2 linked regions of the Saccharomyces cerevisiae S288C genome follow. The protein of the gene in region 1 purifies or fractionates together with the protein of each later gene. This does not show direct contact. Each region holds a gene or a part of one and is shown on either strand. Other genes may lie near its edges.

What was found. The genes of interacting proteins can lie anywhere in the genome.
Region 2: the proteins of HSP78 (region 1) and AAT1 purify together in Saccharomyces cerevisiae (affinity purification with mass spectrometry, with the first as the bait; 2 studies listed by BioGRID). This does not show direct contact.

What each region holds. Positions count from the first base shown.
Region 1 is NC_001136.10:972,586-976,343, forward strand, and holds the start of HSP78 (chaperone ATPase HSP78), read right to left. Parts: upstream 1,659-3,758; coding exon 1-1,658. Other genes in the region: YAP6 (Yap6p), read right to left, coding at 2,046-3,197. UniProt on the Saccharomyces cerevisiae protein: Required, in concert with mitochondrial Hsp70 (SSC1), for the dissociation, resolubilization and refolding of aggregates of damaged proteins in the mitochondrial matrix after heat stress.
Region 2 is NC_001143.9:235,922-239,549, forward strand, and holds AAT1 (aspartate transaminase AAT1), read left to right. Parts: upstream 1-1,614; coding exon 1,615-2,970; downstream 2,971-3,628. Other genes in the region: YKL107W (putative short-chain dehydrogenase/reductase), read left to right, coding at 220-1,149; YKL106C-A (uncharacterized protein), read right to left, coding at 1,226-1,345; SEG2 (Seg2p), read right to left, coding at 3,264-3,628. UniProt on the Saccharomyces cerevisiae protein: Plays a key role in amino acid metabolism. Important for metabolite exchange between mitochondria and cytosol.

The DNA.
Region 1 (3,758 bases):
GCCTTGGTCAATTCTGTTTTACCAGTACCAGTAGGACCTAAGAACATAAAGCTGGCAATAGGTCTCTTTTCACTGGTCAAACCAGCCCTTTGAAGACGTACAGCATCAGAAATAGCAGCAATGGCCTCGTCTTGGCCAACGACTCTTTCTTTTAAAGAATTTTCCATATACAGTAGGCGGTCCTTGTCGCCTTTCATCACCGTTTCTGTAGGAATACCAGTCATTTTGGCAACAACCTTAGAAATATCGTCAGAAGTAACTGAATCATGAAGTAAATTTACTTTATCTCCGTCCTTACTCTTCTCGCTTAAAGCTACCTTCTTCTCCAAGTCAGGAATTCTGGAATATCGCAACTCGGATGCTTTAGTGTAATCACCCTCTCTCTGACACTTTTCCAACTCAATTCTTGCTTGTTCCAAATTTGCCTTAGCATTTTTGATAGATTCAATTTCAGCTCTTTCAGCGTCCCATATTTTTGTTAATCTGTTTAATTCATCATTTTTCATTTCTAGGTCCTTTTCCAACGCTTCTCTTCTTTCCACGGAAACAGGGTCGGTCTCTTTCTTTAAAGATTCCAGTTCTATTTGTATTTTCATAATAGCACGATCCAGTTTCTGTATTTCATCCGGTTTGGATTCATGTTGTAAACGTAGTACAGCACAAGCTTCGTCAACTAGATCAATGGCTTTATCAGGTAGAAACCTGTCTGTTATATAACGATTTGAAAGAACTGCAGCAGACACTAAAGCTGTATCAGTGATCCTTACACCATGATGAACCTCGTACCTTTCTTTTAAACCTCTTAGTATAGAAATCGTATCGGAGACGCTCGGCTCATTCAATAAGATAGGCTGAAACCTTCTCGATAAAGCCGGATCTTTTTCAATGATTTTGAATTCATCAAGAGTGGTTGCAGAGATACAACGTAGCCCACGGGCCAGTTTTGGCTTTAAGATGTTAGAAGCATCCATACTACCATCAGTTTTACCTAAGCCAAGCAGCATATGAACTTCATCAATGAAAACAATAACCTTACCATTGGCCTTGTCAATTTCTTCTAAAACCTTTTTTAAACGTTCTTCGAATTCACCTCTATATTTGGCGCCAGCAATCAAAGATCCCAAATCCAAAGCTACTAGATCTTTATCTTTCAACGAGTCAGGGACCTCCCCAGCAACAATTCTTTGAGCTAACCCATCAATAAGGGCGGTTTTACCGACACCAGCTCGACCGATCAAACATGGATTATTTTTTGTTCTTCTTGATAAAATTTGAATAGCTCTTGCGATTTCTTCGTCTCTGCCAATGACAGGGTCTAATTTACCGTCGCGCGCTAATTTTGTCAAGTTTGTACCAAATTGTTCTAAAGCTGGCTTTTCCGGTTGCTGATTGGGATCCATCCTCATTTGGACGTACGTTCTTTTGAAATTGGGCAATCCATATGAGCTCTTGAGGGCGCAGGTTGAAATAGCGACTTCATTTAATGCATTTGTTTTTATATCTGATAGAAGTTTATTGGCTACTCGAGGTCTTGCATTAAAACTGCAAATAGATCTTTTACACTGTACAATAGTGTATATTCGTGGAGTACTTCGCCTTAATAGTTGCGTTCTCTGTAAATATTTTTGTATTGGTGCTTTTGTAGCTTGTCTTAACATATTTAACCTTGAAAGATTTTCACTCGCTTGTTTCAGGGTTCCTGGAATAGATAATAGAAGTCAAACTTTTCATGCTTACATATGCATATATATGTATATATATGTGTGTGCGTGAGTCAGTAACTAGGGGGTTTGATGAGCTTAGATACAATGAATCACAGGGGTTTATTCAAAAAAAAAAGTCCGTGCACCCCCTATTCAAACGCGATGCCATTAGATGAAAGAACACTTCTAGAACATTCTGGAAAATAACAAATTTTATCAGAACAGAATCACACCTTGATTTGTCTGTTACATTAATTATTAAAATTTATATGACCTATAAGGCCAAAGCAAAAAGTTGATCTTCCAGTACTAGAGATCAATATCTGCTCCCTATTTATTGTATTACGTGGCACTATCCGAGTGTCTCCCTACTATTTCCTCCAGGGATCTTATTTTTTTTTTTAGTTGCTCTATTTCATCTCGTTGTTCTTGTTCCTTTCTTTTAGTATTTTCAATATCCTCGATCATTCGTATATATTCAGCGTGGAAGCGTTTATTCTCAAGTTTTAGGTTTTCATTTTCATTTCTTGACATGTTGTGTTCATTTTTTATTATACTATTCTCATTCTTCAACATGTTGTTTTCGTTACATAAGACATCATACTCACTTCTTAACATAGTAATTGCATTCCTTATAGCTTCATGCTGAGCTATTAAAATGTTGTTGTCATTTCTTAATGAATCGTTTAATGATTTGAAGTTATTATTTTCTGCTAGTAAATCGTCAAATATCTTTGATTTTTGTTCGAGATTCTTGATGTATTTTTCTTTCCTTTGTCTAAATGCCTTTTGAGCGGTTCTATTTTGAGCAGCTCTTCTAGTATTTCTTAAAGTTTTGCCTGAACTACTTATGAGTTGGGTGTCTTTATCAGGAACAGGTTTGGTTACATTATCATTATTATCATTATTATCAGCTGAATTTTTAGCGGTATCAGCACTGTTTTGAAAAGAAGGAGGTGCAGTAGTAACACTGGTATTGCGAGATGGGAGGGTTGATAGTTGCTCCTCTGCAATATACTCCTTATTCAAAGATATGCTCTGGTTCGGAAGTCCATTTGGTAAAGGGGGATTTATTTGATAAGGTGCATAAGATATGGAATAACTTTTAGGGGGGAATACCACGGAAGGTTGAATACTAACATGAGCATTTTGAGGTCTGTTGTAAGAAGCTGATTGTTTTCTTTCATTTGAATGCGGAGGGATGATATAAGATGGATGTATAGGACTTTGATGCATCGATCTATAGTCAGACGGACCAGATAGATGCATCAAGTTTGGCAAAGGAGGCTGGATAGGATTGCTGTTAACAGATATGTCGGTGTCCCCATTAGTGGTTGTAGGATTTATTCTATAAGGTAACTTTTGGGACGTGCTGGGCTGTGCAATTTGCGGAGAAGGATGCTCATTTAGATTCTTCTCAGAGGCATTATAAGTAGCCATTGAGCTGCTTCCCTGATTATACATATCGGGACGAATCAACGGAGGGTTTTGCATTTGTCCCTTAGCACTCTTCGTTATTCTGTTGTTTATTGAAATTTCTAGACAAAAGTATATGCTATCGGATTCACGATTGGTGGGGAAAAAAACTCGGTGTTACAGTTTGAGGAAAGATTGTGTTTAATATTGGTTCTGTAGTACACTCCACAATCTCTCAACTCGCATTGCTTTCCAAAGATAGTCTACTCTCGATACTACAAGGCTCCACTAACTGTGTTAACAAAATAAACAAAAAAAGAGATTCTCCAGAAATTAAAAACTTGAGAATAAAAAAAGAAATCAAAAGGAAAAGAAGCAGGGCCAAGAAATACTTAATTAGCGTTTCAAATGCAGAAAAAAGTATGACAGAATGGAATCAAAGAGTATCAGAAATCATTAAAAAGTAATAGTTTACATTTGCCTGCAAACGATTCGAAAAACTTTTATCCACATGCAGTAAAAATAAGTGCAAGACTATGTTTAAAATTACAAAGAAAGCATAATCTTGAACAAAGTTTCTACCCTTCGGCATAATGCAAAGGGGCATTAGCTAAAAAAACAAAAACGGGTACGCTCTTT
Region 2 (3,628 bases), on another chromosome or scaffold:
GTTTTTACACTTTTTATTTTTGTTGTTCAATTAGGGGCCTCGTCCATATATGTATATATATTACATAATCTGCAATCATCAATTAGGGGAGGAATAATCGGCAGAGGTATAAATACAAAATTTAAAACAATTCAAGTGAATGAAAAGGTGAACCAACAAACAGAATATTACCACGTATCAAGGAAAAACTAATAATAGTATATTGGCGCATTTAGCAGGATGTTCTGGAAAAAGGATCCCACCGTCAGTTGGGAAAGAAAAAATATCAATGACATTGATTTTAGTCGTTTTAATGTGGCCATAATTGGTGGCACAGGTGGACTTGGACGTGCAATAAGTAGAGAGCTGGCCCAAAGAAATGCCAGGGTTACTGTTGTCGGGCAAACTTTTAGGGACGAGGACCTAAAAGATAAAATTAACTTTGTCAAGGCTGATTTAAGTTTAGTGTCAGAATGCAAGCGTATATCTCATAGTGATGAAATTCCCTACGAGGAGTTAACACATCTGATTTTCACTACGGGTATTTTTGCATCACGCCAGAGACAAGCTACAAGTGAGGGTTTGGAAAAAGACATGGCAGTGAGCTATTTGAGTAGATACATTATCTTCCATGATGTGGCGAAGCGATTAGGAATTAGTAGGACAAAAAAAGACGATTTGCCAAAAGTTTTCATAGCAGGGTTTCCAGGAAATGGTCAGGTGGGAGACCCAGATGACTTGAATTCTGATGAAAAGAAGTATAGTGCCTACGCTACACATATGAACACTGTGGCAGCCAATGAAAGTCTGGTCATAGACGCTAAAGACAGATACACGAATATAGATACTTTCGGTTTGAACCCTGGGCTGATCAAAACGAACATTCGTAATAATCTTCTTGGCAGTGACACCTACCTCAGCCGCATTACAGAATGGATAATCAGCTGGACCTGTCAAAGCGCAGAGACGTATGCGAAAACAATATGCACCCTGATTGCGAGCCCCGCTATCGAATCACGCAGTGGTACAATGTTCAGCAACAAAGGCGATGCTATTTTACCTTCGCCTGGTTTGACCAAAGATGTTGTTGAGAAGTTTATGGAAAATTCGGAACTTCTAGTTGAAAAGGCCTTGCGTAATCAAAGTCCTTTCACTTCCAGTAACGAATGACTTGCTGTAACTAATTGGTTTATATTTAAATATTTCACTTTTTAAAGGGCGTTTGCATGCGACCATCGTCGATGATTCATATTGTTCGGATGCGGAAGATGGCTTCCATGAGTTTTGCACGCCGTCTCATGTGATTGTTGGAGTCATAGCTCGCATATCTTCCTATTGTCAGATGTAATATCGACGGAAATGGCATCTTGGAGTATGGAAGCACTATTCTGCTTTGCTCCAATATTTAGGATGCCGCATTTTTCATATTTTTTTTTACATTTTTCGCTTACGTATATAAATTGCTAGCAAGTATTCGCTCTCTCTGTCTTGGTTATCTAATTGCTAACCGTCGCAATTGAAAAGAAAAAAAAAATACAGAATAGACGATAGCGGATTGAACGATAGCATACTATTGAGTGCGTTTTCCCTTCTCATTTGAAAATTACTATCCGTTTTTCACTGCCGAAAGACTTGATGTTGAGGACGAGGCTTACTAATTGCAGTCTATGGAGGCCCTACTACACGTCATCGCTTAGTAGAGTACCAAGAGCACCTCCAGATAAAGTCTTGGGGTTATCTGAACACTTCAAAAAGGTAAAAAATGTTAACAAAATTGACCTGACCGTAGGAATATATAAAGATGGTTGGGGCAAAGTGACGACGTTTCCCTCCGTTGCAAAAGCTCAAAAATTGATTGAATCTCATTTAGAGTTGAATAAGAATCTTTCATATTTACCAATAACAGGTTCCAAAGAATTTCAGGAAAACGTTATGAAATTTTTGTTCAAGGAATCATGTCCGCAGTTTGGGCCATTTTATTTAGCCCATGATAGAATCAGCTTTGTTCAGACTTTGAGTGGTACAGGCGCCCTAGCTGTAGCAGCTAAATTCTTGGCATTATTTATTTCAAGAGATATTTGGATACCTGACCCATCATGGGCAAATCATAAGAACATTTTTCAGAACAATGGTTTTGAAAATATTTACCGGTATTCCTATTATAAGGACGGTCAGATAGACATCGACGGATGGATTGAGCAATTGAAAACCTTTGCATATAACAACCAGCAAGAAAACAATAAGAACCCACCTTGCATAATCTTGCATGCGTGTTGTCACAACCCTACAGGTCTCGACCCAACTAAAGAGCAATGGGAAAAGATTATAGATACTATATATGAGCTAAAAATGGTACCCATTGTTGATATGGCTTATCAGGGTTTAGAGTCTGGTAACTTACTAAAGGACGCATATTTATTGAGGCTATGTCTCAATGTAAATAAATATCCAAATTGGAGTAACGGTATCTTTCTTTGTCAATCTTTTGCCAAGAACATGGGCCTTTATGGTGAACGAGTTGGTTCCTTAAGCGTTATCACGCCGGCAACTGCGAACAATGGAAAGTTCAACCCTCTACAACAGAAAAACTCATTGCAGCAAAATATTGACTCCCAATTAAAAAAGATTGTCAGAGGTATGTATTCTTCTCCACCAGGATACGGTTCTCGTGTGGTAAATGTAGTATTATCAGATTTCAAATTGAAACAGCAATGGTTCAAGGATGTTGATTTCATGGTTCAGAGATTGCATCACGTCAGACAGGAGATGTTTGACCGTCTAGGGTGGCCGGATCTTGTAAATTTCGCACAACAGCACGGTATGTTTTACTATACAAGGTTTAGTCCAAAGCAAGTCGAAATATTGAGAAACAATTACTTCGTCTATTTAACAGGTGATGGTAGATTGTCGCTTAGCGGAGTCAATGATTCGAACGTTGATTACTTATGTGAATCTCTTGAAGCAGTCTCGAAAATGGACAAACTCGCATAATTTTTTCACCTTACAGTTCACCTTTGTCTTTATTTTTTTATTACTTTTCCCTTCTCATTTTGCCACACAATAATTTATAGAATATAATAATTTTTTGTAATAATTAATAAACCTTTTTTTTATCTACTCTATATACACTTTTCAGATAACTAGATTGGATTAATTCGTGATCGAACTAGTTATTAAATTTTAAATGAAAAGAAAGCTAGCGCTAGCCAACTATTTTAATTACGGTGGCAGTGCATCATATCCTTACATTTCATTTTAGGTTTCCTATGTTTTCTTCTTTCAAATCATTTCCTGCCAAAAATTTTTTTCAGTTTCCTACCGAATTTACTGTGACCGTGACGGTCATGCGACTTATCTTTTATAGCTGCATCATCGTTATGAAGCTTGTGTATCTCTCCATTTTTATCAATGATAGTCACCGGAACGCTTAATGGTAAGGCTGTAGGCAGGTCAGGATTTGATGACTCCAAAGTGGCTGTTCCACCAGATATGTTCCTATTTGACAATTGGCTTTTATTTCCGAATAATGAAAACCGGTGGCCTTCTGTACCAGCTTCGCTTACGTCATTAGTGTTCATGGATGATGCAGTGTAAGGGGAAGAATCATCGTTGTTGCAGCTCTTTTTATTTGCTAATATTGGCATATCGT